Linked DNA regions of Arabidopsis thaliana. The protein of the gene in region 1 interacts with the protein of each later gene in a pairwise test. Each region holds a gene or a part of one and is shown on either strand. Other genes may lie near its edges. The genes, in order: JAZ6, AT4G16430 and NIG1.

Region 1 (3,757 bases):
ATCTTTCAATATTGTCTTCTAATTTTATTTTATTTTCTGATAAGTACCATTTTATTTATGAAGATAACGACTGTACAGAGAATTCCCACCACAAGCTCAAGCTGCAAGACCAAACTTACCCGAAGACAACCTGTTACAGAGACACGCTAGCTCGTAACACTAGATAGAAAGGAAATCTTACCCAGCTCAAAGATTAAGTCTGAAGCACACCTAACCCAAAACTGTTGACACCATCTTGATTATGTCCATATATGAACTTAGGTCTCAAAACAACAACTATTTATTTGATAAATGTTGATATACTCTATTGCTTAAAGGAGAGTCCAACTTCGAGTGGTGACCGGAAGGTTTCGCCGTTGCCTTTTCTTTTTTGCCGTTAACGTTGGTTTGGTAGTCTTAGTAGAATCTTCTCACAATCTTGATTTTTGCATATCAAATCTGTTAGAATATGACATTCCCTTATTTTGGACATGATCAAATATGTGATCGAAACCCAACTTGCGCTTCCAACAATGTAGATAATCTTCATGTGAAATAGCGAATATTATTTGGTCTTTTGTATGTATTAGAAAATGACAATGGATCTATATTGTGTAATTAAATACACACATACATGTGTATATATTAGACTCAAGTTGTTGTTCAACTCTTGAAATCATATGATATTGAAGAGTCTTCAAAGTTCAAAGTATTATGTTCTCATTTTGCAAGTTGCGATAAATAATTCAATAAAAATGATTTTTTCCCTTGGCGCGATCGTCTACGACATTTTGTTTTAAATTCTTTTTTGGTACTCTTTGGCATTGCCTCTTATTCAAATAAAATTCAACGCTCGACTTCATTGAACAAAACGATTAAAAGATTTTATTATTATTATTGTTATAGAAATAATATTTAACTGAGCAAGTAACAAAATTCATATTAGGACTAAACAGAAATCGTTAACCTTTTACCAACATACAAAACCACAAATTCTAATATTAATTACACTCAGTTTTTGTAATTAAAAACAGAAAAGAAAATTAGGCCTATGAAGTATGAACGCTATAATATCCTTTAGCAAAGAGGGAAAAAAAACGCAAATCATGCATGAAATAAGGTTGGTACCGCCAAGATTCCGACACGTGTTGACATCCTAAACGCACATAACAATACTTCACGTGTCCTTAAACTTTGTCGGGGATAAGTAATTGACACCATTCATCGATAAATATCCACTCACAAGTCGTACTGTTGCTAATGGATCCCACATATTAAATTCGTATTAGCCATCGCAGCCGACGCGAGACTTAACTCCGTCAGAACTCCGTTAGACTATAGCGTTTGCAAATGCCCTCATTTACGCCCTTTAATAACGAATATCCTAACCACCACTAAACGAATTACCTCAGAAGGGTAAATTAGTATTTAACAGAAACTCTTGGGACCCGAATGAATTAAATGGGTTAACGCCTTTATGTAATGTCGCCGTCAACTTACAACAGTTTCTTCACGGCTTGTGCAATGAAAACGTGCCGGAACTTGTAACGAACATTGTAGTTTGATTTTTGTAATCAACCATAGGAATAAATCATTTTTTCCGCATATAATTTATTTCCCTATTTCTATTCGTGACAAAACATTTGAGGATATAGGAAATTAATAGCCTATAATATGTTTGACCATAAAAAGAATTTCTTCTTCTTGAACCATCATAAGAAAAATGTGTGTTTAGTCTATTGATCAGTTTTGTGTTCAAAAAAAAAAAAAAAATGTCTATCGATCAGTTAGGTGTAAAAAAAAAAGTTACAAAACTCGTGACAAAAACATTCTATATTGGACACACATCACTGTCACTTCAGACTAAATAAAAAAAAAGAACACGTTATTTCGTTTTCTTTATTTATTCGGGAGAGGTTAAAAGCCACAGAAACTTATTGGCTAGAATTGGTTATTTATAACAACAACACATGAGCAAAAAGCTCAAAACATCTACATACTCTTTGGAATCCTCGATTTTTTGTACGTGTAAAGAAGTCACACAAGAAAATCTTGGGTTGTTGTAATCTTCATCACACTAGTATGTCAACGGGACAAGCGCCGGAGAAGTCCAATTTTTCTCAGAGATGTAGTCTGCTCAGCCGGTACTTGAAGGAGAAGGGAAGTTTTGGGAATATTAATATGGGGTTGGCTCGAAAATCCGATCTTGAACTCGCCGGAAAATTCGATCTCAAAGGTATTTATTTATTTTTCCCTATCTATTCCGACGGCCGCCGCCTATAAAGACCAAAGTTTATATCATATACTTTTAGTATCCTGCTTCGTTGATTATTAGCATAAAGTTTAACTATATATTTTTTTTGTTGAAATGCAAAATTTTAAATCATTTTTTTCTTTTCTTTTCTTTAAACTTAAGCATGGTATTATTTTGGACAGCTTAAGTATATTAAAGTTAGAGATTCTGTGAAGTTTTTTAAAAAACGTAATAAACATGTAATTTGATTTTGATAAATTTTAATCGGTTTGCAATTTCTGTTCTAATTTGTTTTAGGACAACAAAATGTGATTAAGAAGGTAGAGACCTCAGAAACTAGACCGTTCAAGTTGATTCAGAAGTTTTCTATTGGTGAGGCCTCTACTTCTACCGAAGACAAAGCCATATATATTGATCTCAGGTACTGTACACACAAACTTCATATGTATTCGAACTCCTAAAGTGTTTGTTTTCACATTTTGTAGCAATTGAATTAGAGAAAGAACTACCGGTTATAGATGTATGGACTATGGAGTTTGACTAATTGTAAAAATGGGTTTGATTTGATTTTAGTGAACCGGCAAAAGTAGCACCGGAGTCTGGAAATTCACAGTTGACCATATTCTTTGGAGGAAAAGTTATGGTTTTCAACGAGTTTCCTGAAGACAAAGCTAAGGAGATAATGGAAGTAGCTAAAGAAGCGAATCATGTTGCTGTTGATTCTAAGAACAGTCAGAGTCACATGAATCTTGACAAAAGCAACGTGGTGATTCCCGATCTTAACGAGCCAACGAGTTCCGGGAACAATGAAGATCAAGAAACTGGGCAGCAACATCAGGTTGTGGAACGCATTGCAAGAAGAGCTTCTCTTCATCGATTCTTTGCTAAACGAAAAGACAGGTAAACTAAACTCCGAAACTGTTTTGTGCTTGGTTATGCTTTTTCTAGGCCGCTCGTCAAAATGTATGCATAGATTAGGATCAAAGTTTCTTAAAAAAGTTATATGTAAAAATAGCTAATAATTACCATATTAAGACTTATTCGAGTTATTCTAGGAATCCCACATCGGATTAGAAGCGTATTACCAATCAAGTTTAAGTTGAACATTCATGAAATTGAACATAGGGTGGTCCTAGTATGTTTATGAATTATGATTCCTAGAGTAAGATTTCGAGATGTGACTCAAGTGTCATCATTTATAAAGAACATGTAAAAAATCTTACAAGTTACAATGAAATTCGAGATGGGACCTAGAGTAGTATATAAGAGATATGAGTCCATCATCTATGTGTCCTTGATCTAGGAAAATTATTAGTAAAATGTCGAGAAATTTCTAGTTAAAAAACACTAACTAAGAGTTCTTTGTAAATCAAAACTTCAATATCTACTTTGTCTTAAATGTTGATTAATTGTTTTGATTTCAGGGCTGTGGCTAGAGCTCCATATCAAGTGAACCAACACGGTAGTCATCTTCCTCCCAAGCCAGAGATGGTTGCTCCATCGATAAAGTCAGGCCAATCGTCG
Region 2 (3,757 bases), on another chromosome or scaffold:
GTATTTTTTTACCCAAAGAAGTAGACTCAAAGTTCTCCACATTAGCCGCATTTTTCTTTTTCCTCGTTCTGCAACAAACGCATAACACGATTCTTTCATGTCAGCTTCAACAGTGAAAAAACAATTACACAGATGAAAACAGAGAAGAGACTACATAGCTACTGAAAGTTTTCAAAAGCAACAAACTTTAAGCGATGCTCATTGTCCCAACTGAAAAATCAATGATTGTTGCACAAAGCAGATGCAAAGAAACTTCAAAATCAATCAATTTCAGCAGAAATTGGCACAATTACATAGATGAAGATAGAGGAGACTATAGCTACTGAAAGTTATCAAAAGCCACAAATTTGAAGCCATGCTCATTGTCCCAACTAGAGATCAATGACAATTGCACAACACAGACTCAAAGAAACTTGAAATTCAAATCAATTTCAGCACAAATTGGCAATTACAAAAGAGAAATCCACAAAAACCCCAAATCGGAAATTAGAGTAGTGAATTAGGAACAAACCTCTGAGTAGGGTCTTCGAAATTTTGGAAGTTCCCTCGAGAGCGACCCATTGATGCCCAAGTAGAAAATTGGATTATTGGGTTATGCGAAACCACAGAGAAGAAGAACCCTAGCGTAATGCCAACATGGGAGACTCACCGGAGAAGATGGAATGGGTACTTGGGGGGGTTTCGTGGAAGAAAGATCTAATCGGAATTCAACAAAACTCGGTCGAAATTTGTGAGGTTTTGGATCTCTACTAATATTATTCAGAAGTTCCGACCGAGAAGATTAAAATTAGGGAAGTCGAGGTAAAGGAAATTTCTAAGGCACTGTACTTTTTAGATTTTTTGGGATTAGACGGTCATGCTTATTACTAAAGCATATGACTTAAACTAAATTGACTCTTATAACTTCAACTTAAAAAACTATTATTTTTTATGTTAATTGTTGAATGGTGGTTGAGGGAAAAAAAAATGAAGAAAAAAAAGCTAAGATAGACCATTTTTATTGGTAATTTTTTATTATTAAAATAATAAAAATAATAAAAGGAAAAGAAAGAGAGTGTAGAATGTTTCTCGTTAAACTATGAAATACTTTATACAAACCATCATAATATTTTTCTCTTTTCAATTGGTTCGCTAAAATAAAAATTTAATCATATATAAAATTATAATAAAATACTAATATTCTTTTTGTTTGAAAAACTGTTTGGGTTTCTTCTTGATGGAGATGTCTTTAATATTTGGTTGGGTTATGGTTATTCGTTTTTAGGTATTTTGTTCATGGACATTTTCAGTAAATGAATTAGCAAGTAAATAAACTTGTATAGGAATAAATGGTTAGTGTTGTCACACACTATCGGAACAACATTATGATGTATTTTAAAATCTTATTGATGCTAATTTGAAAAATTGATTTGGAAGAAGGTTAAGCAAGGAAACAACCATATAAGATAGTTTGATGCTAATTTAAAGTTTCTTATTTTGGTCGAAAATCGAATTATTAGAAATGTTTGAACCTTTTTTATTAGACATCTAGTGATAAATTTTATAAGACTCATGTCAATCGAATAAAAATATCGAATTGTTGTTTTGCTGAACGAATAAGTTTGTCTATATTAGACGCGATTAGTTCTTCTAAACCACATTATCCAAAAAAATCGTGATTGACTACATGGTGTAATGATACCTATCATACCATCTCAAGAATATGGCATGACTCATCCAATTAACAATTGTATTTGCGCATAATTGTAAGATGTGTAAATTCCTTTTCCGCTTATTAACGGTGATTTGCGATAAGTTAATTCAGAAGACGAGTTTCGATTCTCCCATCATAATAGGTTGTACTACGAAATAATTTCCCAACATGTACACATAATCTCGACAAAAATCCAGTGATATGGGTTTACTTGTAGTTGAATAGATATTACACCACAATGACTTGTGGTTTGGTATGTAAGAAAAGGCAAAAGTATAGTTTGCAGTTAAAAAACTGAAGGAAATGATGTCCTTGGTATTAAATTACGATTAAACCCATATTCTCTCTCTCGCATAGTCTCTTCCTCTTTTCTTCTTTCTTCGTCAATTTCAGAACAAGTCACTACAGATCTGAAGTGAACCAAGCTCAGGTTTTGTCTTCTCTTTGATCATTCCTTTCTCAGCAATATAAATTAGAGTTATATCCTTTATAAAGGATTTTGCTTTTTCACCAACAAACCCTAAATTCGGTGTCTCAGCAAGAATCACGTGATTCTCGTTCCTCTTCCTCACGAAACCCATCATCTTCTATCTCATTTGTAAGCAGCGATCTCAATCCAAATACCTTTAATTTTATTTGATTCCATACCCTAATTTTTGTATATTCCATGTCAATGAACGTTTCAGGAGAAATGGGTCAAAAGTTTTGGGAGAATCAAGAAGATCGAGCGATGGTTGAATCCACCATAGGCTCTGAAGCTTGCGACTTTTTCATCTCAACAGCTTCAGCTTCCAACACTGCCTTGTCCAAGCTTGTCTCACCACCAAGTGATTCCAATCTCCAACAAGGGTTACGTCACGTTGTTGAAGGATCTGATTGGGATTATGCTCTTTTCTGGCTAGCGTCCAACGTTAATAGCTCTGATGGTTGTGTCTTGATCTGGGGAGATGGTCATTGCCGTGTCAAAAAGGGTGCTTCAGGTGAGGATTACTCTCAGCAAGATGAGATCAAAAGACGTGTGCTTCGCAAGCTTCACTTGTCGTTCGTTGGTTCAGATGAAGATCATCGTTTGGTGAAATCAGGAGCTCTTACTGATCTCGACATGTTTTATCTGGCTTCTTTGTACTTTTCCTTTAGGTGTGATACCAATAAGTACGGTCCTGCTGGAACCTATGTGTCTGGGAAGCCTCTTTGGGCTGCAGATTTGCCTAGCTGCTTGAGTTATTATAGGGTTAGGTCTTTCTTAGCTAGGTCAGCTGGTTTTCAGACTGTGTTGTCTGTACCAGTGAATTCTGGAGTTGTGGAGCTTGGTTCTTTAAGACATATTCCAGAAGATAAGAGTGTGATTGAGATGGTGAAATCAGTGTTTGGTGGGTCTGACTTTGTTCAGGCTAAAGAAGCTCCTAAAATCTTTGGTCGACAGCTGAGTCTTGGTGGAGCAAAACCTCGGTCTATGAGTATTAATTTCTCCCCGAAGACCGAGGATGACACGGGTTTCTCATTGGAATCGTATGAGGTGCAAGCGATCGGAGGCTCTAATCAAGTGTATGGTTATGAGCAAGGGAAAGATGAGACATTGTATCTAACTGACGAGCAAAAGCCGAGGAAGAGAGGGAGAAAACCAGCAAATGGAAGAGAAGAGGCTCTAAACCATGTGGAAGCGGAACGGCAGAGGAGGGAGAAGCTGAACCAGAGATTCTACGCTTTGAGAGCGGTGGTGCCTAACATCTCCAAGATGGACAAGGCTTCGCTCCTTGCAGACGCAATCACTTACATCACGGATATGCAGAAGAAAATCAGGGTGTATGAAACAGAGAAGCAGATAATGAAGAGGAGGGAGAGTAATCAGATAACTCCAGCAGAGGTTGATTATCAACAGAGGCATGATGATGCAGTTGTAAGGCTAAGCTGTCCGTTGGAAACTCATCCAGTTTCAAAGGTGATACAAACGTTGAGGGAGAATGAAGTTATGCCTCATGATTCCAACGTGGCCATCACAGAGGAGGGTGTGGTTCACACATTCACTCTCCGGCCTCAGGGTGGCTGCACCGCTGAGCAGTTGAA
Region 3 (3,757 bases), on another chromosome or scaffold:
GTTGTATCATAAGATCGTTCATCACAGAAATGCTCGCATGATTCACTTCTAACTCCAAATCCATCAAAGCATTCATCAATCTCGCTCCTGGATGATGATCCTTCCTTGATTCAACTCTAACCATTGCATCATCACTTTCCATAATCTTCACTTCGATCTTCATCATCTCTGATGCCTTTTCCTCGTATTTACAAACGCTAGGAATTGCGTTTCGTTGTCCTGCAATCTCCTTGAGTTCATTGAACTGAATCTCAATCGCATGTTTCTCCAATTCAACGTTTTCAGCTTTTGATTTCAGCTCGTTTATGTAACAAACCGCGTCTTCGAGCAACGACGTTTTGTCCATTTTCGATACGTTTGGTACAACCGCTCGTAATGCGTAGAATCTGTGGTTTAGCTTCTCACGTCTCATCCTCTCTGCTTCCACGTGGTTCAAAGGCTTGTCTCTACCATGCGCCGGTTTTCTCCCGCGCTTTTTTCCCTTCTTCTTCTCCAGCATCACCGTCGCGTGAGGGACGACGTTTTGAATCTGATCAGAATAAGTATTAGGGTTCCGATTTTCAAAACTCTGTTTAACATTCTCGCCAAAACTCAGTACATCGCCGCATGGAGCTCTCGCCAATGTGGAAGATGACGTCGAGAAGTTCAAATTATACCGGTTCTGTAGATAAACCGGACTAGGATTCGGGTTACCGGTTACAGTACTTGAACAACTGCTCTCTAACTGAAATGGGAAAAGCTCCGAGTTCGAATTCGGGGCTCCAGAAAAATATTTGGATCCTCCAAAAAGAAACCGGATCCTATTAAAAAGATCCGAATTTGGTCGGATCTCCTCCGTGGATGCAAGCTCCAACACTCCGTTATGTGAAGGAATACACAAGATGGTCTGTAACCCTACATCCCCTCCTTGTTTAGCCCGATCACAACCCGACCCGTAAATCAGATCCGAACCGGTAACCAAAACCGGGTTATAGCTAGCAAACGCCTTACCCGCTAACCCGGATCCGTTACCAAAACTCCACGTCATGGAAACCAAGAAGAACCACTCCATATCCGTCACTTCCACGTCATCGTCATCACTGACGTCGTCTTCAACCACCGGAAACGCTTCGCCGGAGATCATCAAGTTAAGCTCCCGAATAACATTACTCCGACGCTCTTTCTCCTCCGGAGACGACAGAATCGTCTTCTTCCTCCTCAACCTCCCTCGTGTCTTTTCCTCGTTGCCACCAGTGTAAACTCCGTCGCCCCATTTGAGAACTGCTTCACCGGAAAAGTCATCGTACGACGGTTTCCAGAAAATGGCGTAACTCCAGGGCTCGTGGGTTCCATTCAACACAGCATGTAAACGCTTCGGGAGAGTAGTCTCGAGGCTGAGATTCGCCGGAAGTAATGGTGGCGACGGATCGGAGGTCAAGAGAGCTTCGATCATCAATAAGTTATCGTCGGTATTAATCATCGTTGCCGGAGTATTAGAAGTCGTCTCAAGTCTTTGTATTTATATATCTAAACTAAACGAGAAACTATAGAGTATAGAGTGTACTCTTTATTTTGTTTCACACGAGTGCATGAAAATATTACATTTTTCTGTGGTTTTCTTTTCATGAATTTTAACGACCCATGTGCGATAGCTGATGTATCACTATCACCTATCACCAGGTAAAAGGACCACATTTTTCTAGGTAACGGGATTGTTTCGTCGTTGAACAAAATGGATTGAATGAAACACGATTATATGTCGGGAAATTTGCAAAATTGACTAACAAAAAAACTATAATTAAGAAACTAACCAACAACAAAAACAGAGATGATATTTTGTATATAAACTATAATATATACTAAAGTACTCTTATCTACACAATCACCATCTTTTTTATGCTATTACAACCATTACCCTTGCAACCGTCATCATCATCGCATCCACCATTATTTCCACAAATGTCATACCATCATCACCATCACCACTGCAATCGTCACCACCATAGAAACTACCATTACGCTGTCATCTCAACCACCATCACCATTATTGCCGCCGCAATTGACACACGACCACTGCAACCACCAACACAAATATTACTACGACCTACACCATACACACCACCACCACCTTAATCACTTCTTCCTCTCTTCCATTGCTTGTTTCACTTCTCTCGCCTCTTATCTTTTTTTTCTACTTTAACTTAATTAAAACAGAACCGAACTATAGTTTTCTATTTTACTTTCAATTTTGTACCATTCTATTTGCTAGTTAGAACGGAAAAAAATGAAAACGAAGACTCACAAGATCTTATTGAATATTTTCTGGTTTGATCAATATCTAAAATTGAAAATCCCTAACACAAATTTAAACCCAAAATCGAATCGATTTCAATTCGCTTTAGGAAAGGAGAAAAGAGATTAAAAGTATATAAACATGATTTTGTCAGATTTCTAAAAACTGATTCTTGAGATGATTTCATTTAGTTTAATTATTTTTGTTTGGGTTCCATATATAGTATCTTAGGGTTTAGTTTTCTTAAATCAATAGATGTTTTTAAATTAGAATGGATTGATATAAAAAAGTTAAATTTTCTGGAAATTTTTTGTTGGATTGGAGAGAAGAGAAGAAGCAACAAAGAAGATGATGAATGAAAAAGGTCTGTTAAAAAAACATTACCTTTAGATCAATATCTGATTCACAATCCATTACCTTTAGAACATATGGAATATTACCTTTAGATCAATATCTGATCAACAAAACGAAGAAGATGATGAGTCATGGCAAATTGGAAAATAGGGAAATAATGCAGGGATAGACTTGTAATTAGTTAGAGTTTTTGGTTACTTGCTGAATTACGTAAATTATATGGCTATATTCTTAATTTTTGTTCAATTATGGCTATACACCTAGTTCACCCATATATGTTATCACTCTTTCAAAAAAAAAAAAAAAAAAAAAAAATTATCACTCTTTCTTCTTCTTCTTCTTTTTTCTTTTGTTATCACTCTTTAATTCTATATGGATCAGGTTAACAAAACAATGTCAATGGACTTTGTTGCACTGCACTTCCTCATTTTTTTCATTATTACCTATACATTTTGATACTAATATACTCAAAAGTCAAATAACCAATGTTCGATTTCTCCCTTTTAACAATTGGGTTTAACCAAAGTAACGTAAAGAGGCAAAGTTAGCAATGCAATCCTTTAATCTCGCACCCCATCATGATGATTTTAAATAGACATTTTAGTTTTTATGTGTAATGGTGAAGCTTAACATTGATTCTGTGTTTCTATATTTTTTAATGGAGTTATTTTGTAAAATTTAAATAATGACGCAATCTATTGACGGAGCCGTGAATGCTAGATATTGACATTTGACAAAAGAGTTGCATAATTTTGAACTTAAAGTGATTAATGTAACAACAAAAATCTGAAATTACACTGTTTTGTATCTTTGTTTTTTTTTCTTTCAAATTTCATATCTTTATTGGGTTTATGTGGAAGGAAGAGCTTGCATAATGATAAGGAGACCAAGAAAAAGTGGGGAGGAGCAACTGACAAGTTAACACCACATCCTATTTAACAACATTAATGTCTTTTTCTTCATTTTTAAATGGGTACTTAATTTGTAAGATCACATCCTTAAGCTTTTTATTTTGTTGAAACAATCTTATTTGTGTTAACACAAATTATTTTTGAATTGATAGGAATTTGTTTGTGTAAGTGTAGATAGTTTACCACACTATTTTCCGGTTCGAATTTTCAGACATTTTTT

Evidence for each region.
Region 2: the proteins of JAZ6 (region 1) and AT4G16430 interact in a two-hybrid assay, tested with the Arabidopsis thaliana proteins (one study listed by BioGRID).
Region 3: the proteins of JAZ6 (region 1) and NIG1 interact in a two-hybrid assay, tested with the Arabidopsis thaliana proteins (one study listed by BioGRID).

The regions. Positions count from the first base shown.
Region 1 is NC_003070.9:27,274,441-27,278,197, reverse strand, and holds the start of JAZ6 (jasmonate-zim-domain protein 6), read left to right. Parts: upstream 1-1,635; 5' UTR 1,636-2,061; coding exon 2,062-2,215; intron 2,216-2,530; coding exon 2,531-2,654; intron 2,655-2,806; coding exon 2,807-3,133; coding exon of another isoform or gene 3,134-3,137; exon of another isoform or gene 3,138-3,657; coding exon 3,658-3,757. UniProt on the Arabidopsis thaliana protein: Repressor of jasmonate responses.
Region 2 is NC_003075.7:9,265,215-9,268,971, forward strand, and holds the start of AT4G16430 (basic helix-loop-helix (bHLH) DNA-binding superfamily protein), read left to right. Parts: upstream 1-2,045; 5' UTR 2,046-2,291; intron 2,292-2,379; 5' UTR 2,380-2,384; coding exon 2,385-3,757. Other genes in the region: ADA2B (ADA2 2B), read right to left, coding at 13-68, 512-561.
Region 3 is NC_003076.8:19,000,421-19,004,177, reverse strand, and holds the start of NIG1 (calcium-binding transcription factor NIG1), read right to left. Parts: upstream 1,615-3,757; 5' UTR 1,460-1,614; coding exon 1-1,459. Other genes in the region: AT5G46825 (uncharacterized protein), read right to left, coding at 1,679-1,759, 1,895-1,964, 1,999-2,052, 2,117-2,133.